Linked DNA regions of Drosophila melanogaster. Changing the gene in region 1 together with any one later gene gives a genetic interaction. Each region holds a gene or a part of one and is shown in the gene's direction. Other genes may lie near its edges.

Region 1 (7,943 bases):
ATAACTTCTTGTGGAAGATTAATAAGTGATCCGTGTTATCAGTTTTTGTTTTTATCATTAAATGTTGCCCCAGGCCGGTCGGGTACAGGAATTTTCACCAGACTCCGCTTTATTTTTATATAAAATGATGTTTTTAATGTACTGTTGCCCAGAGCTGTGCACCTCAATATCTTCAATGTTTAAAGTACTTTTCGTTTAATCAAATGCATGCAAATGATCGAAACCCTCAAGCCCCAACGAATACCTATGATGAATGCCTACGGCTCTAAAGATTATCTTTTCTCATCCACAGCTAAGCCATGGCCGACACACAAGCCAAGTCCACTACTGCGCCCAAGGCCGCCAAGGCCCAGAAGGCTCCCAAGGCCGTCAAGGCGCCTAAGGCCGAGAAGCCCGCCGCCTCAGAGGCTAAAGTTTCCGCCAAGAAGTACAAGCGTCACGGACGCCTCTTCGCCAAGGCCGTCTTCACCGGCTACAAGCGTGGTCTGAGGAACCAGCACGAGAACCAGGCCATCCTCAAGGTATGTCTATACTTCAATGTGATGGGTCCGGACTTCACAGAGTTTTTCAAATAATAATTAATACATTCCAGTTCTGTAAAAACATTTTAGTAATGTAATTGATTAACCAACATATTACATTGCAGATTGAGGGCGCCCGCCGCAAGGAGCACGGATCCTTCTACGTTGGGAAGCGTTGCGTCTATGTCTACAAGGCCGAGACCAAGAAGTGCGTGCCGCAGCATCCCGAGCGCAAGACCCGCGTCCGCGCTGTCTGGGGCAAGGTCACCCGCATCCACGGCAACACCGGCGCTGTGCGTGCCCGTTTCAACAGGAACCTGCCCGGTCATGCCATGGGCCACCGCATCCGCATCGTTAGTTCAAACACACCTTTTCTGTCCGACAATTGGGTTGTATTAACATGCCTTCTTTTTTCTTGCAGATGCTGTACCCATCAAGGATTTAAGTTAATATCCGACTTGAATTACTGACCTGCAGGAGTAAAAAATCCGTTTTACATTAAATGAAACACTTTAAATTTAATTAAAACGCAACTTGGCTTTTTTATTAAGGCGAGATACCGATTGAAAGTTGACGGTAATCTGTATATCGATTGATGGCTGTTCGGTTTGACTTTCCCTACTGCAATGAATTATCTTTTGGCGGGACCATCCACTTCGCATTAAAATCCATTTATATTGATCTTAAGTAGCAGATGAAGACGATGGAAACGTTTTAGAGTACGAATTGAATGTGGATTTCGAGACTCTTGGCTAATGTCGTTCCTTTAGATCAGACATACCACTTCTACCATAATAGATTTTAATTAGTTTTGAAAATCTCAAAACTATTTTTTGTATTGCCAAAGTCAACGAATACTGTAGTGTGTACTACTAACGAATCTTTTCGCAAGGACACTAGGGGTGTATGGCGTAGCCTTTCTGCTCGAAAATCATACGAATTCAAGTTTCTGTTAATCAACAATGCGGTTTCTAAAAAAATCAAGGAAATGGTTTCATAGTAATCAAAAGTTTTTTAAAAAGAATAAATGTTGTAATAAACGTTTCTATATTATGACGAATATACCACCTAACATATTTTTAGAAGGTAGAGCATATTTAAATTAAAGTAATGTTTGAATTTCATTTGGTATGTGTCAGAATTATAGCCGAATAGAATTTATTTTTAAAACACGTCGAATAATAGAAGTATTCAATAAGAGATGAGATGGAAATAATACTTCATCTACTTTAATAATTATTGTTAAGTTGTCCCTATTTGTGTCAAAACATGGGCGTCAAACATTGTTTTAAATTAGTTACTGGAAAAGTTTAAAATAGTAAAACCTTAGTGAAACTGTTCCCACCGTGTGTATTTTTTTGGTACTTTTAGGTAATGACGAAATAAACTGTATTGTGGTGTCATCTGTTATTTTAAGGCTGTCAAAACGCGGTCACACTTGCAATCGCGCGTTTTGCGGCCCAATCGGAACAAAAACATAAACTGACCAGTTTTAGTGGATTTAAATAGTGGAGTTGCGATTGATTGCTGCAGGAGCCATCGAGAGTGATGCGGAGATGTGCGCCGACCTTGCCGGGAGCCACTGCCGCCGCTGTTCCACCAACCGACCCCCCGAAGTGAGGTCAACACGTCACCGTTCGAACCAATTAGAGACTTGCATTTCTGCACCGTTCCCCGCGTCCGATCGCCAACGACCAGGATTACGTTATATGCGCGTACGATGCAGGACGACCTGGATGGCATCGTGAGGCATCGTCGCCGGAGCCTGAGCTTCCTGCAGATCGTCACGCTCACTATGGCCGGCCTGGTGGCTTTCGATCCCGCCCAGGTGCTAGCTGGGCACCCAACTACTGATTCGGAGCTCCAGACTGCCGGATCTCCCCGTCCCCCCGGGCTCGAACACTGCGTAGATCAGGAGGAGCGTCGCGTTGCAAGAAGGTACGTACCCTAACCAAAGTATCGGGAGGAATGCACTGGTATCGAATGGATTGTAGCAGAAGAAGAAGAGTGCGTTATGTGTGTGTTATGTTTATGTTCTCGAACATTCGCTAAAACGCGGTGCAAGTGGATAAACGAGCAGCCAGCACCTAGGCAAATATTGCGAAGAACACGTTAGTGATATTTGGTTGAACTACTCGAAAAGTGCCTATTTAATCAGCTAAAACGGGGAATTCGAAGAGAACTGTGGTACGACGGGGGGCCAGTGAAAATACGTAGCTCAAAATTCTCGGCTGATCCGACAAGTTGGTAACATTTGCGACGGCCCTTAGCTTTAAGTACCTTGTCCCGTCTAACACGAGAAATTCGGAGAGCTTCTGTTCAACTTGAAGTCTGGGAGCGATCTGATAATATGAACCCACATGTTTGCACCTTGGCCAACTATGAAAACCCGTAATCAGTGGACGCGCTTATCAAGCATGCGGTGAGTCATTTGCAAGATCTTAACTGAATTTTTGTTTGAGGCAGACGTCTAGATATGTTGTTTGGCAAGCATGCCAATCCGAACTGGTTTCCCCGATTGTTTTGCTTTCCTTTGCGTTTGTGCAAGGTTTTCACTGAATTTCACAATTCTCCCCCCGTTTGCTTTATCCCCCCTTTTTGCGGGCGCCATTTTCGGCTCCTTGGTGGGCGCGACAGAGATGGCGATAGGGGAAATGGAGAGGGGCCAACTGACACTTGTTGTTCCTCGAGTTCTTGTCTTCTTGGCGCAAAAACAGCTGAGTTTACTTCCCATTTACCTTTTCTACGCTGTCAGCTGGGTCTGCCAGTGTGCCCCTTTTCCTGCTTTCCTTTATTCTTGCCCCATGCACCGTGTACCTGGTGACGGAATCGGTTGCAAGCACAAATCAACTTTTTGTATAATTGCAAATTTAACTCTAGTATTTAATCTTTCGAGTTGAAATATTTTAAACAGTTAACCAAAGGCTTACTCACTTACAGAAAATTCAATTTTTACATTAATTGCACGAATAGAAAATATTACATAAAAATCAAATCATTACTTGAATCTATGTATGCTGTGTTTTTTGTTTTTTCTTCAAAATCTTGTGTTTGTTTATTTCAAGCTCGCCCATGGTAATTGGATATTACCTACATAAAGGGTATACGGTATTCTTATATTTAACAAGAACGGCTTTTAAAAACATATTGGCCTCGCCCACTCTAAATTCCACAAGCTACAAAATCCTTGTTACGCTGACACGGTATCATTTAGCGAAAATAACAATTTGGCAAATTCCGCCATTATGGACTATTAGCTAATATGGAGTAGTCGATATTTATTTATTAAATATGGAAATAAAAACATTAAAACTTGGTATTGCATTATTTATTCTATCCACAGACTCCTATACATTTCCACGCTTGATGGTCGACTGAGCGCTCTGGACATCGCCAAGTCCGGCAAACTGCGCTGGAGTGTGCCCACCGGACCGGGGCCACTAATCTCGTCCAGCATCCATCGATTGGAGCTGACCAACAATGGGCAGTTCGTACGCATGATTCCCTCTTTGAGCGGCGGCATCTACAAGTTCGACGGGGACTCCATCGATCCCATTCCAATCACGGCGGAGCACCTACTCAGCTCGAGCGCCAAATTCAGCGATGATCTGGTTATATCCGGAGGCAAGGAGACACGCTCATACGGTGTTTCCGTTCGCACTGGCCAGCTGCTGTATGAATGTTCTCTAAACGGATGTGTAAACTCTACGGAGGAAGGGCTTGCAATCGACGACACCATTAGGGAGCCCGATGAGGAGGATCAGCTGGAGGACGGAGAACAGTTAAGGGACGAGGCCGGCTACATAGTGCGCCATGATCCTCTCCTTGACGACGTTATTATCGTCCGCCGCCAGACACAAACGGTTCGGGCCGTGGAATCCCGGACCGGAGTGGAGCGTTGGAACTTTAGCGTAGGTCAGCATGAGTTGGATCTGGTGAGACCTTCCGAGTGCCAGCTACAGCCGCGCGATGAGCTGGAGCTGGCTGTTTTGGATGTGGATATAAAGGTGGTAGTGCCCGAGGGAATTATCTGCGCCTTCAGCAAAAGTGAGCCACAGACTATGCTGTGGAAGTACAAGGTAAGTGGTGATGGCTTTAATATTAAAGGCAAATTTACTTAGTACTTTTCGTGTGCTTTTCAGTTTGATCACCCAATTGTGAGTGCCTGGAATACAAATGCCGACGACGAATTGCAGCCTATTGATTTGTTTAGCTCGGCCCAGTGGCTTTGGGACCAGGACGAAAATGACACGGAGCTGCCCAATGCGCCACAAAGCCCGCCATCCATCTACTTGGGCATGTACGATAAACAGTTGTATATTCAGGAGTCAATACGTCTACGCCAGGAGATTATGGACCAGACCAAGGTCTATCAGCAGCTTACAGGCGACACCAGCCTGATGCCCAGGATTCCCTGGAAGCCGATATCCGCCAGTAGCAAATCGCTGGTAATCTTCCGGAAAGACCAGGAGGACCCTGAAATGATTGCTGAGGGAGCTGTGGCACAAGGAGGGGAACTGGTGCCCTATGATGATGAAAACTTCGCTGTGGCAGCGCAGTCCGTATTGAATGCATCGGAGTTTGTCAATGGCAATGGTTTTTACTTCTACACCACTGGCGATCTGAACGGCCCGCAAGAGTGCAGTACGCAGAATAATCCAACTGACCTTCCAGCAATCACAGCTCCAACATCGCCTACCAATGCCACATCTGAGGGAACGGAAGCTACTGGAAACCATAGCGTCAACGACGATTTGGGCTTTAGTTTGGATGACATTGATGCGCCTGTAAAGGTTGTGATATTGTCGTTGTGGTTCTGGTGGAAGGAAATCGTGGTCATAGCATTTACGTCGGCTGTGATTCTAAATATTTTCATGGGCCAACGAAACCAGCGCGTGGAGCGAGAGTATCTGGTCATTGAACGTCATGTGCCTGTTCAAACGGCCATCGAGGCCACCGAAGCATCCACACAGGCTTTACTAGGTCCAGTGGTGCCGATGCAGCGACCTGGAAATCGTTTTAGCTTCCCACCTGGACAAGCAAATCAGCGCACCATTTCGGAGTCTACAACTCATTCAGGCGAGCATTACACTTCCCGCTTTCAGTCCGACTTCGAGTTGATGCAGTGCCTTGGTCGCGGTGGTTTCGGAGTGGTCTTCGAAGCTAAGAACAAGCTGGATGAGAACCGATACGCCATTAAGCGCATAACGCTACCCAATAAGGAATCTTCAAGACAGCGAGTCCTTCGCGAGGCTCGAACTTTGGCTAGTTGTGAGCACCACAACATCGTGCGATACTTCCATGTAAGTTCTTCTATCTATTTAAAAGTTAAAATTAAGTTTTTAAGTATTATCTGATGATAAAACTCTTTATTGTAAAATTTCCAGTCCTGGACCGAGACACCGCCGACTGGTTGGCAGGAAGAAGAGGATCGCAAGCTGCTTGCCCACGAGCTGTCCACCTCTATCCAGATAGAGACGCCGGACGATAGTACAATGCCTTCGTTGACGGAGCAGTTGAAGGAGAAACGCCAACAGCAGCTCTTGTCCTGGGTTTCGGATGCAGCCAATAGCACCGCTTGTAGTCACGACTTTCATCTACCAGGCGAGTCATCACTCAAGAACATACGCGAGGAGTACGACTACGATGAGGAAGAGGACTCGCTCATTGAATTCCGCAGCGAGTCGCAGTCAGCCGCTTTACGGGCAGAGGAGGAGGATGATACCGACGACGACTATGAAGAGGATGAAGAGCAGCAGGGAGACCATGAGAAACGACATCGCAGCTCCGTGTCCATTGACATCCATTCGGCCTCGTTTGACCTTAAGAACATAAACTACTCACAGCACCAACTGGTCTCCAATTCGTTTCAAATCGAATCTGTGCGCCCCAAGAGCAGTGGAAGTGATGATGCGAATGACGATAATAAAGCTAGAAGGAAGCCCCTTACCTTGGCACTGGCCCAGAATCACAATAACAACCAAAACGGGAGCCAACCTACGCCCTCCAGTGCCACGATTCTGAACGGAACGGTGGCCAAGCCCAGCAAGGTGTACCTCTACATCCAGATGCAGCTATGCCGCAAGGAGAGTCTGCGCGACTGGTTAAGGGACAACCGGTCGGAAACAAGGGCTGCCCACATTGGTGACATTTTTCACCAGATCGTTGATGCCGTTGACTATGTACATTTGAAGGGTCTGATTCATCGGGACCTGAAACCAAGCAACATATTCTTCTCGCAGGATGGACAGATAAAGATTGGAGACTTCGGGCTCGTCACCGACATGGCCGATATCCCCAACCTGGTGGCCAAGTGTGGGGACCAGAGTGGCCTGCCCTCCTGTGCCCGCCACACCCAGCAGGTGGGCACCCACTTATACATGTCGCCGGAGCAGCTTTTGGGCCAGCACTACGACTACAAGGTGGACATCTATTCACTGGGACTGATCTTCTTCGAGCTGCACGTGTACTTCAGCACTGAAATGGAGCGGATCAAGACACTGCGCAGTCTTCGGGACGGCCAGTATCCCAAGGATTTCGCTGTCAATTACCCGCAGCAGTACGACTTGCTCCAGCAAATGCTATCCGCCCAGCCAGAGCAACGCCCGCAGACCAAGCAGTTGAAAAGCCAGCTGCGCAACATTCTGCAGCTACCTCATCTCCTCTCGGAAGGACAAAGCGAGCAGGCGGAGCTGGCGGAGCGGGCCAGGCGCCTGAGTCGCAGCCGCACCTTCAGCAGCTCCAGTGAGCCGCATCAGTGATAGATCAGACAATTTGGGCCATGAGCTTGGACACCCATTCTGTCAGCGCCAAACTCAGTCACTTATAGCATTTCGCTTGTGAGTCATCAGTATCGCCATCGCTTATTCCTTACCTGGCTATGCCTTATTCGCTGACCTCGACCCGTAAAGGTCGCAGATTCATTACCGGGCAACCCTAGATTCAATAAGTTTTGTATTACGTTTACCTTTACTCTTGCGCGTCGCAAATTACCAACAAAATGTCCTTTTGTTTTTAAGACTTAACCTTAGGAATTATACATACACATAAAGATGTACTCCTAAACAGTCGTTAGCCTAAGTTACCTAAGTTACCTACGATGCTAAATTGTTTGTCTTAGTTTGTTTCTACCCATGTAGCCGCCCAACCAATGCGAGAGTTTGTTTTTAGTCGTAGGCGATAAGATTAAAATAAAAATGTCAAAAATAGAAATGGAAATGTTTTCTAATTGCCCATAGAGATAATGGTTGTGACTAATCGCTTGGCATACCTTAAAGCAGTCGCCGCATGCGGCAACATTGTGTGTAGTAATGAAATTGGTTGAGGCGCTGAAAAGTCTTACATAAATGATATACGCAATAGGCCACTAAGTAATTGTGTACGTACTTCTGATTGAGGGAAGTCGCAGAGGTGATGAAACTC
Region 2 (4,305 bases), about 19 Mb from region 1:
CATAGCCCCTTTATTGTATTTCTTCTACTTCTTACTCGTACGCACCGTTTATGGCGCCCACAATGTCGTAGGTCACATGCGGCGGATAATCGGAGAGTATGTCCAGGGCTGTGCGTCCGTTTCCATCGGTGGCGTGTACGTAGATACCGGCCTTAAGCAGAGTGACCACAACGGACTTTTTGCCACAGAGAGCCGCCTCGTGGAGAGCGCTTCCAGCGTTGGTGAGTATGTTGACATCGACGCCGGCCGCCAGCAGTGTTTCCACCACCTTCTTGTGCCCATTCCTGCTGGCCAGGTGCAGGCAGGTGTGCGTGAATATGTGCTTTATGGGCATGCAGCCCAGCAGCTCTTCATTGTCATCTTCCAAACGCTTATACGGCAATATGAGGTCGGGATAAACACGGAGCAAGGTCTGAACCACCTGAAGGCGTCCGAATTGCGCTGCCAAATCCAGAGCCGTTTGAAAGCTATTGTTGCGTATGGCAGGATCGGCGCCATAGGACAGCAAAATGGCCACCACGGCATTGTGGCCATGTTGGGCGCCTGAGTGCAGCGGCGTCTCGTTTTCGATAGTCTGGGCATTCGGATTGGCTCCCGTAGGCGAGTGCATCAACAGCATCTTGACGATGTCCTGGTGCCCAGCCCAGGCAGCCAGAAATAAAGGTGTCGAGCCACGTATATCAGGCACATCCAACAGCGCGTTGTGGGAGAGTAGTAGCCGTACAATGTTGCTATGCCCATTTAGACAGGCGTGATGCAGCGAAGTGTAGCCATTCATGTCCTGGCAGTTGATGCTGGGACTTCGCCTAAAACTGTAAAGGAAAACCTGTAGTAAACTACCTGGAATAACAACAGTTGCTGCTGGTGACTCACCTGGACAGCGGGCCATGTCGTTTGCTCGAGTGCTCCAGCAGTTTGTCCACCGTCTTGATGTCGCCGGCTCGCGAAGCCTCCAGCAAATGCTGATCCTTGCCCATTGCTCCTCCGTATCCTCCAACACTAGGTAGCTACACAGGAGCAGAAGAACACATGTCAAGTTGTTTAGTTTAGCTTTTGCTCCGATTCCAACACAATGAGATCATCGCGAGCATACAGAATACCACAGCCCCAGCCCCACTCACACCCCCAACAAATCAGGTGGCAGCCAGGCGGAATCAGCTGTTTGGCCCTAGCACGCACAGACTGATAGCCAAATATTTTTTTTATACAAAATAGCTGTGAACATTCCACAATAGTATTTTTGTTTATAATATGGAGGGCTGAATGGTGGCTCCGCCTCTTCCAAGGTCATTCCACGGCATTGGACTGCTCCAATTGGAATTTCTTTGTCACCAGCTAGGTTTTATCTTCAAGTTTTAATTTACCGGCTATGTCCACGTCCGTTTCGAAAGTTTACAGCCATAAACGAATAACTATATTTGCCACCGCGATAAGCAATCAACAAAGCTGTGATCTAAACTTTATTTACGTGGAGCCGATCGAGCAATTGTTCGTTACTAATTGGCTAGGGATGGAGGCGTGAGGCGACGACGAAACACACGACACTCACGTACAATCAGTGATGATCAGTATAAAATGAAAGTGTGATTAGTGAGTTGAATGCTAATGCTGAATGCCTTCAATATATTATTATATTATATATTATTACTTATATACGCCCTTTATTGTTTACAATATAATGCCAAAAGTTTTTAGCTACTAAACTTTAGCTAGGTATTTGATACTGCGTGGAATAAGCTAACTACCCAACACTTGCACAGAACAACCGATATTTCCGAGCTACCATCTCTAGCTGCACAAGCCAATTTTTTTATTTTCCCTGGCAAAAATTCACGTTTTTAACCGAAAATTTGACTCACAGCATCATGGAAACCTCGAGCTCCAGTCCAGTAAAGCCCAGGAGAAAAGACAAGGACGAAGGTAAGTGGAAACAGTGAGAAATCTGCCCCAAAACGATAAAGCGAGGTGTGCCGGCACATCGGTGCCTTTGATTTTGCCTTTGCCTTTGATAACGCGTGTGTGAGTGCTGGTGTGCGTAAAAAATAGCCAAATTAAAGTTTAAGGTATGCCCCTGTTTGCCTCGCTTAATGCAAACCCATTCACTATGTTGCCCTTGCAGATGGTCGTGCAGAGCAGGAGGATTCCGCAGATCAGGTGGGCGAGCCGCACAGGAAGCTTTTGCGCCTGGGCGACATCCTTGAAACGAACGAAGTGCTCCTGAACGAGGCGTATCAGCAACCGGAACTTACCAAGTGGCTCCAAACAGCCTGGACGGAGGAGAAGAGCCAAGGGACCAAGGAGACGCAAACCGGTGCTCAGGTCTTCTCGGATCCCTTTCAAATCTGCCTTCTGCCCGGCATGCTGGAGAAGGGCCAAAGCCAGGCGCTGGTCGCCGAGATCATCCAGAAGGTGCAGTGGTCGCGCAAACAGATGGATTTGTATGAGTTCTACCAGAGCGCCGACCTCTCCAACATGCCCGCTTGCCGACTGTTGACCAACTTCCTGCAGGTGCTGCGCAAACAAGTGCGTCCCTGGCTGGAGAAGGTTACCAACCTCAAGCTGGACTATGTGTCCGCCTCCTGCAGCATGTACACCTGCGGCGACTATCTGCTCGTGCACGACGATCTGCTTAAGGACCGACAAGTGGCCTTCATTTACTATCTATCGCCTTGGGAAGGAGCGGAGGAATGGACGGATGAGCAGGGCGGATGCCTAGAGATCTTCGGTAGCGACGATCAGTGCTTTCCACAGTTTCCAGTGCAGCGAAAGATCGCCCCCAAAGACAACCAGTTTGCCTTCTTCAAGGTGGGCTCGCGCTCCTTCCACCAAGTAGGCGAGGTTACTACATTCGACTACCCGCGTCTTACCATAAACGGATGGTTCCACGGCGATACCAATGAGGCCTTCGTGGCCGACTCCCTGCGCGCCTTTCCCCGCCTGAATTACCTGCAACCTGATGGCCTTAATAGGCCACCGCTTGGCCTGTTTCTAAACAACGTGTATCTAAAGGGGGCCACCCGCCGGAGCATCCAAAAGCGGATCGAAGAAAACTCCGAGATTTGTTTATACGAGTTCTTCAAGCGAGAGAAATTCGAATTGGCCCGGTCGCAGCTGTTGGCCGATTCGGATACCTTGAAGTGGCGAAGACAGGGACCCGCAAACGCACACAACTATGAAGTGCTGGATTTGACAACAGCCAGAGGCACCATACTGGAACTACTGCAACTGTTCCGTAGCCACGCCATGTTTGATTTGCTGCGAGATTTCACCGATCTGGATTTGGCAGGCACCGATGCCGAAAGTCCAACATGCAGCGTGGAACTGCAGCGCTGGTCCCACGGCAACTACACAGTGCTGGGCGACGGTTTGACCAGCGAGGAGAACACTTTGGACCTGGTTTACTACCTGAACGCGGCAGAAGGAGCAGCGGTGATCACATACCTCGCACCCGACGCCGAAATGCCAACAGCAAAAGCACCGACGGACGGAAGGCGATCGGACTACGATGACGAGGAAGAGGACGATTCCGTTCTGCTTACTATCACGCCGGTGGACAACGCCCTGAACATAGTATACCGGTGCGAGGGCACCACCAAGTTCACCAAATACGTGTCGCGCAACACGCCCCTTGAAAAGGGACCTGTTTTTGTTATTTCGTGCAGCTACAAGGAGTAGCATGTGATCCTGTTTCACAACATGCGCACAATTACTCGTCAAGGACTATTAACATTCATACCGTTCTCCTGTACAGAAACTAATTTACATAATAAACTTTATAAAACACAAATCAAAATATTATAGTTTTTTGTCGAAGTAATAAAGTGTGAACCCAAAGAACGCTTACGACCGCGATAAATCAGGAACTAATCAAACACTTCTCTTTAACTTTACAGATAAGTTCCGGATCGGGGCTACACTAGCATTTATCGTGGTCATCATTGGAATTGGCGTGCCCATGTGGTGGCGCACCACCACAGTCTACAGGTGAGTCAACCATGTCTGGCGGCGTTTTTCCAATTATACCTAAATGTTGCAATCGCAGAGTCAATTTGCCCTCGACGGAAATTTTGAGTCTGAGTAAAATTCCGATCAAAACGGCTGTGCAGGTGGCCATCTACACACAACAGACCAGTCGTGGCCAGTTGCTCATCGCCGAACTGCAGAACGCCTTCAGCGACAATGGTAGGTGCAAATTCATTATCCATTCATATTTCTAAACGGCATGCATTTCCCATTAGAAATATGGTCTGTGGAATTCAAGCAGCTATCTCCTACGCCAATGACCCAGGAAGCACACACGCCAGC
Region 3 (4,294 bases), on another chromosome or scaffold:
AATTGCAATATGGTATTCAAATGTGAGGCGTGACATGAGTGCGTGCCCATCGATCGATGGCAATGGCGATGACGATGTGTCCACCACTGGTACTAGCGCACTTCCTTGCCGTACGGTTGCTTCGGCTGCTGGCCAAGCACACACCCAGTGCCCAGGTATTTCCGATCCCGTGCCAGATCCTCTTCCCTGCGAGCAGCTCGCTCGGCAGCCGTGTGCGTCATGTACTGCTGGTGCCAATCGCGATTGTGAATCTGGAGCAATGAGAAGGGGTTGGGTTGTTGGCATTGTGACTAAGAGGAAAGGCAGTTGGAGGCGGGCATGCAAACTCACCCTGGCGCAACGCTTCTCCATGAGCTCCTCGTAAATCTGGCGGTCTTCGAGGATGTTGTAGCCCACATCCTCACGGATATTGGCCTGTGCTTGCCGAGCGCTGATGGTAAGATTCCATTTGATCTGATCCTGCAAGTCAATGAGCTGCTGGCGCCGTTTATCCTTGAGCTTCTTCAGATCTTCTTGTTTCTTGAGCACATCCATTTCGGCAGCCAGTTCCAGGCTATGAAAGGTAGTTGATTGGATTACCAACATAATCCATTCGATTAGTATATTAACTAACTGAATCTCTAGGGAACCTGGTACTCACGCCTGGGAACATTCCCGTTGGTCTGCCAACACCTCCTTGGCGAACTGGGCCTTCTGCTCCCGATCAGTGTCTAGATTGTGGGCTTGGCACCTGTTCTCAATCAAGTTGCGCAGTTTCAGCTCATGCTGCTCCTGCTGGGCCTTACTTTCGTCCAATCTCTGCCAGACGCGCTGCCAAAGAATCTCCACACAGGCCTGGCGGCGTTTGAGCGCCTTTTTCTCCTCGATTTGATGGAGTTGGGCTTGCTTGGACTCCAGCAGGATCTCCTTGGTTAGCATGTGACGATGGGCCTCGGAGTTCTCACTGAAAGTGAGGTGATTTCAGATGGAAAAGGACTTAAAATTCTACACTCAAAACCTACATCTCCCTTTGCTGCTTCTTTACTTTGACCAGCTCCATTTCGGCCTCCTCCCGCTTCAATCGCTCCATTTCGATCCATTCGTGTCGCTTTCGATCCGCTTCATCCGCCTGCGCCTGCAGCATCTCTGCAATCTGCTCATCCGCCTCCAAGGCTTCCTTTTGGAGAAGAAGACAGAGGTTCCAACGACGGTTGTCCAAATCCGCGTGCCATTCGTGCATCTTTTGCGCCACCTGGAAACTTATTTGAGATTTTAGATTGCGCCTATCGGTTCGTGTGAGGAATTCCACAACATCCATTTTTTTGAGCTTCTTTATTCTAATTGTACTTAATTATGTGAACTTTTGATTGTTTTCTGGTATCTAAGCACCGCACAATTCAAAAATTCCCATGACAACTATTTGTGAGTTAATTTTATAAATTTTTAAGCAATAAAATATTTGCAATAACTATTTCTCAAATAATAGATTTTATTTTTCGAAATTTAAATAATTAAATATTTAATTAAAACTAGATATGACCCAACATCCAATAAATTCATAATTTATTAGTTTAACATAGTAAATGTAGTAGTAAAATACCGGCAAACCTTTGATTTAAGTTATTTCAAGAACATTTGTCATATTTGCCAATTAATATTGAAAGCTTAAAAACATTTTTTAAGTGAAATTTAAAAGAAAACGTTTTGGCGCAAAACCAAACGTAAAATACTAAATAGTTGGGAAAATGCAAATTGTGGTATTATTGGCACACGCACCATCTGGCAACTTTGCGACCAGATGTTTCCGGATGGCCTTTGAACAGGCGTAAATTGTATCCAAATTGGCAGCAAACCCTTGGAAAGCAAGCAATGAAACCGTGTACAGACAGGAGAAGGGGGCACTGAAGGTCGAGGCAACGCAGGAATCGAGGGATATCGCCAGCAAATTGCCAGAAATTGAAGGTAACGAACCCGAAGCACCCTGTGCCGGAGTTTGTGACGCAGTTACACAACTAAATTCTTAGTAGGCGCCCAAAGTCGGGGCAACAACAAGCTGCTAGCTGAATCAACGTGTGCCAGCTAATTGGTGCCAATCACACTGCACTCTGGAGCTCTAAAACCGTAAGAGACCCCCGTTCTTGGACCCCCTCGCAAAGGTACGTCCATCGATTCGGCGATCTATTTTTAGCCGGAAACATGCGATTGCTATTGATGATTATCGGTTTATTTTTCAGATCAGGGACACGGCGGCTTTCACTTTCGAACACATCGGCGAGTTCATTGGTCCACCTTCAACATGGTCGTGGCAGCATCCACCTGCCGCACGGAGACGGTCTTCGATTACAGCTGGATGAACGTGGTGGTCGCCTACTGGAACCGCTACCCGAATCCCTCAAGCACGCACGTCCTCACCGAGGACACTATTCAGCGGGAGGTGCGCGATGGCAAGCTCTTCTCGCGCCGGCTGCTCTCCAAGACGAATCCGGTGCCGAAGTGGGGAGCTCGCTTCTACAACAATGTGCCGGTCAAGATTGTTGAGGACTCCGTGCTGGACCCGGTTAAAAAGACATTCACCACTTTCACCAGGAACCTGGGAATGACCAAGATAATGGCAAGTGATCGCACACCTACTACGATTGCTTTAAATAGGTCACATATCAATTTAAAGAAATGTCTAGAAGAATTCAGCCACTAGCTGTTGGGCATGACCGAAATACCGGCATAATACAAAAGCATAAGTGTTACCTAACAGATCGATGGTCAATGCTGTGGCATTGTTTGTTATATTTAACCCATGAAACGCATACAGAACATCGGGATCCGGTTAAGATTATTGTTCGATTTATTTTACTGCACCCTTTTAGTGAATATGTGAAATATGTTACTTAATCTTTTCAAGTTTAATTTAATCCTAATTAATGATCATTGTTTTTTCCTTTTAGAAAGTCGATGAAATTGTCGTCTACAGCGAGCAGAAGGATGGTAGTACTCTGGCGGTGCGAAGAGCATACATTAGTTCGCAGGTGTTCGGATTCTCGCGGGCCATTCGCGCCTTCGGCATCGAACGGTTTAAGGCCAATGGCAACAAGGCCTCCAATGGATTCAACTACGTGCTGCGGCGCATGTTTCCGGACAGTTTGGTTGGTGGAGGACATCACCAGCACGCGGTGACGACGACTTCGCCAGCTGGAGAACTTCCTGCAACGACCATCACCGTATCCACAACAAACGGCAGTCTCAACAACCAAGGAGCTCTCAAGAGCGCCGCAAAAGTGGGCTACGAGTTCTTCAAGAGTCATGCCTCCAAGATTGCGCAACTGTTTTCTGTCAAGAACTGAGGAACTTCTAGTCTGTACTTTTTGGAATAGATGTCGAATGGGACCGAAGATTTTAATGCTTTCGGCTCCGGGAGTTAAGGAGTTTGTGGATTTGACCAGGACGGAATTAGAATGACGAGCGGAGGAGTCGTGTCGCCGGGTGTTTTTAAACATTTATTCCAAAGCAAATCCAACTACATACTTTGCTGCATTTCATTCCGTGTGTGCGCGAATCAAACGGCTGATCTGAACGGAGACACAATTTGCTGAACACATTTCCTGCATGCTACCAAATTCTATTATTTATCGTTACTTATTTGCACTACATTATTATGTATCATTCTGTTAGGTCAAGAGCAGGAAATGAAAAGCCGTGTCAAAATTGGTATTGCTATGTAATATGTTGTATATTTTTATCAAAATATAAGAAAACCAACACTTGTAGTGGTTAAAAGTGTAGTTATTAAAATAAACTTAGTCTGTTAGAAATGTACGGCTGTTTCTTTGAACTGGGTCTAGTCATAAAAGAATTTATGTTTACAGAATTTATAATATTTATATTATACAATTTATGTAATATTTATAATATCTATTCATTTTTTTATTATTTTATTTTATTGTTATGGGCGGTTAATTTTTTAGTAAAGCTTGTTTATAATGAATTGTTAATATTAATCGGTTTTTAATGCGTACTATTTGATTCATTTGTATATATTTTTCAATTGGTTTTAAATTATTTCTCTGCAAATATTCGTTATAACCAAGGCTGCCATATTTTATACAGAAGTCAGCTGGCCCGGTGCTACCGGATCCGTGACGCAATTCCGTTGGTTTCCAACACTGCGGCTCTCCCACGCAAAAGCGCTCGCAGCTTTTAGGTAAAATCGGCGTTCTTTCGAACATTGGAGAATCCAGAGCCACCTGGAGTCGCATTCTTAATCCGAATTCCCAACCGTTCGCGTCAAAGTCGCGCAAAAACAAATAACTGCGAGTATAGT
Region 4 (5,750 bases), on another chromosome or scaffold:
TAGAAATTTGAATAAAGTGCTGCATAAAAAAAACCGAAAGTGGTAAAAAAAAGTGAAAAAAGTTCATCAAAAAAAAAAAACGAGAAAAAAAAGGATTTATCATTCTGTGCGAGTTTTATACCTGGTCCCGAGGACCTCAGGCAAATAGATAAGGAGTTGGTGGTGGTGGTTTGGTCTTCGTCCTGCGTCCTTCGTCCTGCGTATGCAAATCGCTCGCCCGAGTCCGCGATGATTCCTTTTCAATTCGAACAATGCCGAGGGTCGCCGCCCTGTCCTTTGGCCACACATGTTTGCGTCTGCGTTTTTTCTGCATTAATCGTCCTATTTGGAAAAAAAAATGATTAAACCCTTTCGTTCGGTACATTTTTTTCGAAGATTTTTCCCCGTTTTTTTCGAGGTTCATCTTTTTTTTTTTTTTGCTTAAGTCATCCCGTTGTTGTAATTTCACTTTTCCGTGAGAACTTTTGATGGGTTCTGATGGAAATAGGATGCTCAGGTGGGACACAAAAGAAGTTTTTTTTTTTGGGAGCAAAAAAATAGTTTTATTTCGAATAAAACCGGAATAAAGAAAAAGAAACGTGAGAGTTTTGGTGTTCACATTAACGTATAATAATTTTAATGTAATGTTTTAAATAATCTACATGCTTAAAATTGATAAATTAGTTAAGTTAGTTAGGTATTGTAACTAATTTGATTTTTTTTTAAAATTAAGTAGCTTCTTTGTTACATTCTAAGATGTAACTAAATTAAAATGATAGACCCCATCCTGTTGCGGTTGGTATCTACTTTCCAAACGACCTAAGGCGATTTATGTTCGAATAATCGAGGTGCCTGCATCGTCGTGCCCAGCATCCTAAGCAATTCACCCCCCGGCGTGATGAACGATGATGGTCTTGGGCTCGAAAGGATTCGATCCAAGATCTGACCGAGTTTTCTCAATTTGCATATCGAGGGTCGCGAGCTCCTTTGAGGGGTGCTATCGTCGGGGCAAGGGTTTGTCATGGGAACAAAAGACGCATTCATTGCCGAAGAATAGCCGAAATCAATATTTGAGGTAATTAATTAACTGCATCAATATTGGAGACGAGGAAATCCATAACGATATTCACATTTACCAATCAATTGATTGACGATTGAATGTTATCTTGAATTTTATCGCTAGAAGTCATTTGGAAAGTTATTACGCTCATATTTCATATTTTAATTAAATATCGTTAACCGAATTTTTTAACTATCAGAAATGAACTGGTTTTCATCAAAAAGTTATTTTTTTATACTTTGTTAAATAAATTGTTGAATAAAGTGGTTTACCTCGATTTCATCATTTTTATATCTGATCTTGAAAAATTTTACATTATTTAATTTTAAATCAAGCTCACTCTCAATTTTTTGTTATTAAATATTCTCATTCTGCTAATTCAAATCGAGCGGTTTTATTTCTGTTCTCCATAACGCGATCTGGCAACCTCTTCCCTTAAAATGTTTCATCCCTGGGAAGAGGGTTGCCTCTGCTTCAAAAAAATGGCGCGAAATTTCAACATATCGTAAATTCAATATAACAAATATCTGATGGGCAAATTTTTAACAGATTATTTTTAAAATCTTTTTTTTATATATTTACGGTCAATTACATTTTGATTACTTATTTAACATTTAACCAAAACTTTTAGAAAAGAAATATAAAATTTTTAGAAATATTCGAATACTTCATTTGCGAATCGAAAAAAATTACTGAAATAAAATTATTTATATTAATGGGAAATATTGGCCATTTGAAAAGCACCTGCTGTGCTGAGTGACCGCACTTCGCTCGTCAAGTGTGGTATTTTTTAGTACGTTTCGGCGCTTAGCGCGTGCGGTCACACAAACGCCAGGTACGTGTCCAAAATCATGAATCGAAAGTAAATGAACAATGTTGCTGCTTCGAAACGCAAATGCTCGCTAAACTCGTGAAATTGGGATTCGGAATCGCAGGTGCGAAATCACACGGGTGGGGAAATCGGATTCAGATGCACTCCGTCGGCGAAGCGCAAAACAACTGAGCACGCAACAACAAAAACAGTGACAGCAACAGTCATAACAATAGCAACACTCACATCAAAACACAATGACAACACGCACGGTGCAGAGAAATCTGTGGGCCTCCGCTGCGGTGGTCCTAGTTCTGCTCCTGCTCTGGACGGACACCACTGGAGGCTATTTTGCAGCCATCGATGAGACGGAGACTAGCAAAAACTGCTTCTGCGAGGTGGGTTAATATTCGGATTATTGTACACAGTAACGGTAAAATTAATTGATGATTTAAGCCATTTAAAAATATGTTTTTCAAAAATATTAAGAAGTTGATTTCATCATCATTTGCTTATCCTTTAACGATCTCTACTTAGATCTTAAAAAAAGGCTTTTAAAATTGTATTTTAAACTGAAAAGTATGTAGTTGAAATACTGGAGATTAGTAAAAAAGAATTCGTGCTTATATTAGTTTTGCTTTAATTGCAGTGCAGAACGTACAGAATACTCAATTATTTATTTGTGATAATTAATTAATTACACTTGCTTCACTAATAATATTTGACCTAGTATATGTATAGTACTCAGCTAACTTGAGATCAAATTTTTGTATACCTACTATTGCCACCTCGACTGTATGATATTTATATTCTTCGCAGTTGGAGGGATCTATAAACGACTGCAGCTGCGATGTGGACACGGTGGATCACTTTAACAACATGAAAATCTATCCGCGATTGCAGAGTCTGCTGGTGAAGAACTTCTTCCGCTTCTACAAGGTGAACCTGCGGCAGGAGTGCCCCTTCTGGCCGGATGACAGTCGCTGTGCGATGCGCTTCTGCCAGGTGGAGAACTGCGAGGAGCAAGCGATTCCCCAGGGCATCAAGGACAAGGGAGAGCACAAGGAGAAGGCCGCGTTTAAAGTAAGATTCCGGGTATTTCCATCGCTATCGTCTACACTACGCCTCTTATCTTATTCAATCTTTTGCCAAAATCACCACTATCTACCCAATCACTCAATGGGCTTGCAGGTGATTTATTTTTATTCGAATGTCTGCGGCTCCACAAGAATGAACCGCATCGATAATCTTCAACTGAGCCTACACTGTTAATGATGTGGCCTTTGATTTTGTTTTGCAATGCTGACGTGGTCTTCACATCTCATCAAGCGTTTGCCCGCCCCTTTTTAATTGTCGATTAACTTATTAACTTATCTAAAATATTGATCACTCCTTAGCAGACTATACCATACAGTAAAATATTATAAACAAAAATTCTATACCCCAAAATGAGAATGAAAATCAATTATTGTTTTTAAAGATAACTCAAAAAAAAAAAAAAAAAAAGAAACAATGCAGTTCAATATACGTATGTATTTAACAGCAGAGGTTCTTATCTTCACAAACAAAAAACAATTGATACTCGTACATAGCAAAAAAAAAACAAAACCATATTATCTACCAGATACTTTATTAACGTATAGATAATTATTTATACCGATAATGCCGTTCAAGAATGTATTGATATATTTGTGAAAAGCTTTATCTGTTTCTTCAAAGATTACTTAACCATCAATGAAATAATGACTGACTTAAAACTTAAGCTTATTTGTTTGCACAACTGGCTCACTTCACCTTACTGACTTCCTCATCTGCATCTTGTATTTACAGTACACGCGCGAGGCGCAAGTTGGGGGCTCAGCGTGCTCGGATGGAGAGGATTTCGACAGCTCTCTGGGTTTCCTGGACACGAGCATAAGTGATCAGGCGCATCGGGAATTCGAACTGTGGGCGAAGCATGATGAGGCGGAAGAGGACTTTTGCATCGTGGACGATCATGAGGAGGGATCCCAGTATGTGGATCTGCTCCTAAATCCTGAGCGGTACACCGGCTATAAGGGCGAATCGGCACATCGCATCTGGAAGAGCATCTATCTGGAGAACTGCTTCGGTGGCAACAACGAGACGGCTAACAAGTTCTCTAACTACGTGCCTCATTTGGATTTGCGAAATGTGTGCTTGGAGCAGCGTGCCTTTTATCGCATTATTTCTGGCCTGCACTCTAGTATCAACATTCATCTGTGCTCCAAATACCTGCTGTCAGAGTCAAAGGACTTCTTAGATCCGCAGGGCATCTGGGGTCCCAACGTAAAGGAGTTTAAACGACGCTTTAGTCCAGAAACCACAAGCGGTGAAGGTCCGCACTGGCTGCGAAACCTCTACTTCATCTATCTGATAGAACTGCGCGCCTTGGCTAAGGCTGCTCCTTATCTGCGGCGAGAAGATTACTACACGGGCATCGCAGAGGAGGATGATGAGGTTAAACTAGCCATCAATGATATGTTGAGTGTCATAGAGTGAGTATAGGAATATTCTTTTTTCTTACAATGTTTCAATTTAGCTTCTTTTTGTAGAAATTTTCAATCCCACTTCGACGAGAACGCCCTCTTCAGTAATGGAATCGCTTCTATTAAGTTCAAGCACGACTATAAGGAAAAGTTCCGAAACATATCCCGCATCATGAGCTGCGTAGGCTGCGACAAGTGCAAACTGTGGGGGAAGCTGCAGACGCAGGGATTGGGTACTGCTTTAAAGATTCTCTACTCAGAGAAGCTCAATCTGGCCACGGAAAGCGGGTTGTGGGACAAGCCGCACATCGAAGCGGATCCCATCTTCAGGCTGTCGCGAACAGAGATTGTAGCTCTATTTAATGCGTTTGGCAGGTGCGTTTTAAATGATAAAATGGCATTTCTAAAATACTTACATCTATACACTTGCTTGCAGACTATCCAACAGTATATACGAGATGGAGAATTTCCGGTGCGTGCTGAGGTAACCCATCCAGACTGGACTAACCGAGCGACGAGCCGGATCTCATTCGCCTCACATGAGCAGCTAGTTAATTCATACGCACATCGCTGGGGCTGCGTCTTGGACTTCCTACTGAATGCGGTTTCCCTCCCATAGTTCGTAACATTTTTGAGGCCAGAGGCTAGTAACCCCAGGATAGCTGCTTCCCTGTACATACAAACTATTACCCTAGGCTACTTGTACTTTAGCGCACCGTATCACCCTAAAAAAAACCAAATGACAAAAAAATAACCCATGCAGGATGCAGGTGTTTATTGTAAGTTAGCATAGTATTTATTGTATCTGGAGGAGTTTGTGAGCGGAACTTAATGAGCAAGTAAACGCATTGTGCAATACCAAGACCTTACGACACAAGGCGCTAAAATAAACTTCTGTCTGTTTTGAAACACCCTCTCTAACGTCTCCATCGATACGGGTCCTAGCAACCGAGTTGTTTGCCATTCCAGCTGTCGGCTTTTGTGACATTAGCAAATTGCTATCCAGTCGATCGACACTTGATTGCTCTTGTGACTATATTTTCTGTGCGAAATGGTGCTTCTTCAGGTGAAACGCGGAGACGAGCTTATCTTCCTCTATGAGACAAGCGTTAAGGAGAAGACTGATACTGTGCTTCGCGAGCTTGTGGCTCTGCACAATGGTCAACTGAAGATTCAGCGTGTCTGCATGGAGATTGAGGAGCTGGCCGAACATGGCACCATGGTGCCGCCTGAAATGATTGGCCTCAACGAGGAACAGAGGGAAGAGCTCAAGCTTAAGGATGTCTGGGCGGATAAGTGCATCCCGTCTGGTGGTTTCACTATCAACAAGGATCCGCTCCTTCGCCGTAACGGACAGCAGCCAACTGAGGCGATGCAAAAGGTCCTGGCAGGT

What was found.
Region 2: of PEK (region 1) and sud1, changing one suppresses a phenotype caused by changing the other (phenotypic suppression), as found in Drosophila melanogaster (one study listed by BioGRID).
Region 3: of PEK (region 1) and prel, changing one suppresses a phenotype caused by changing the other (phenotypic suppression), as found in Drosophila melanogaster (one study listed by BioGRID).
Region 4: of PEK (region 1) and Ero1L, changing one suppresses a phenotype caused by changing the other (phenotypic suppression), as found in Drosophila melanogaster (one study listed by BioGRID).

Annotation. Positions count from the first base shown.
Region 1 is NT_033777.3:5,458,731-5,466,673, reverse strand, and holds the start of PEK (pancreatic eIF-2alpha kinase), read left to right. Parts: upstream 1-1,920; 5' UTR 1,921-2,241; coding exon 2,242-2,459; intron 2,460-2,778; exon of another isoform or gene 2,779-2,881; coding exon of another isoform or gene 2,882-2,943; intron 2,944-3,553; exon of another isoform or gene 3,554-3,593; coding exon of another isoform or gene 3,594-3,622; intron 3,623-3,864; coding exon 3,865-4,600; intron 4,601-4,663; coding exon 4,664-5,824; intron 5,825-5,908; coding exon 5,909-7,282; 3' UTR 7,283-7,943. Other genes in the region: RpL35A (ribosomal protein L35A), read left to right, coding at 300-521, 647-874, 943-966. UniProt on the Drosophila melanogaster protein: Phosphorylates the alpha subunit of eukaryotic translation-initiation factor 2 (EIF2), leading to its inactivation and thus to a rapid reduction of translational initiation and repression of global protein synthesis.
Region 2 is NT_033777.3:24,915,324-24,919,628, reverse strand, and holds sud1 (sudestada1), read left to right. Parts: upstream 1-1,764; 5' UTR 1,765-1,865; coding exon 1,866-1,920; intron 1,921-2,119; coding exon 2,120-3,675; 3' UTR 3,676-3,789; downstream 3,790-4,305. Other genes in the region: CG11168 (uncharacterized protein), read right to left, coding at 46-812, 874-977; PIG-S (phosphatidylinositol glycan anchor biosynthesis class S), read left to right, coding at 1,866-1,920, 3,894-3,984, 4,043-4,182, 4,239-4,305. UniProt on the Drosophila melanogaster protein: Prolyl 3-hydroxylase that catalyzes 3-hydroxylation of 'Pro-62' of small ribosomal subunit uS12 (RpS23), thereby regulating protein translation termination efficiency.
Region 3 is NT_033778.4:9,422,326-9,426,619, forward strand, and holds prel (preli-like), read left to right. Parts: upstream 1-1,761; 5' UTR 1,762-1,941; intron 1,942-2,003; exon of another isoform or gene 2,004-2,006; 5' UTR 2,007-2,135; intron 2,136-2,213; 5' UTR 2,214-2,275; coding exon 2,276-2,590; intron 2,591-2,921; coding exon 2,922-3,317; 3' UTR 3,318-3,782; downstream 3,783-4,294. Other genes in the region: CG13955 (uncharacterized protein), read right to left, coding at 93-251, 331-553, 641-943, 1,002-1,297.
Region 4 is NT_037436.4:4,168,545-4,174,294, forward strand, and holds Ero1L (endoplasmic reticulum oxidoreductin-1-like), read left to right. Parts: upstream 1-1,859; 5' UTR 1,860-2,107; coding exon 2,108-2,248; intron 2,249-2,669; coding exon 2,670-2,933; intron 2,934-3,680; coding exon 3,681-4,366; intron 4,367-4,423; coding exon 4,424-4,732; intron 4,733-4,793; coding exon 4,794-4,845; 3' UTR 4,846-5,245; downstream 5,246-5,750. Other genes in the region: CG18675 (uncharacterized protein), read left to right, coding at 5,409-5,750. UniProt on the Drosophila melanogaster protein: Oxidoreductase involved in disulfide bond formation in the endoplasmic reticulum. Efficiently reoxidizes pdi-1, the enzyme catalyzing protein disulfide formation, in order to allow pdi-1 to sustain additional rounds of disulfide formation.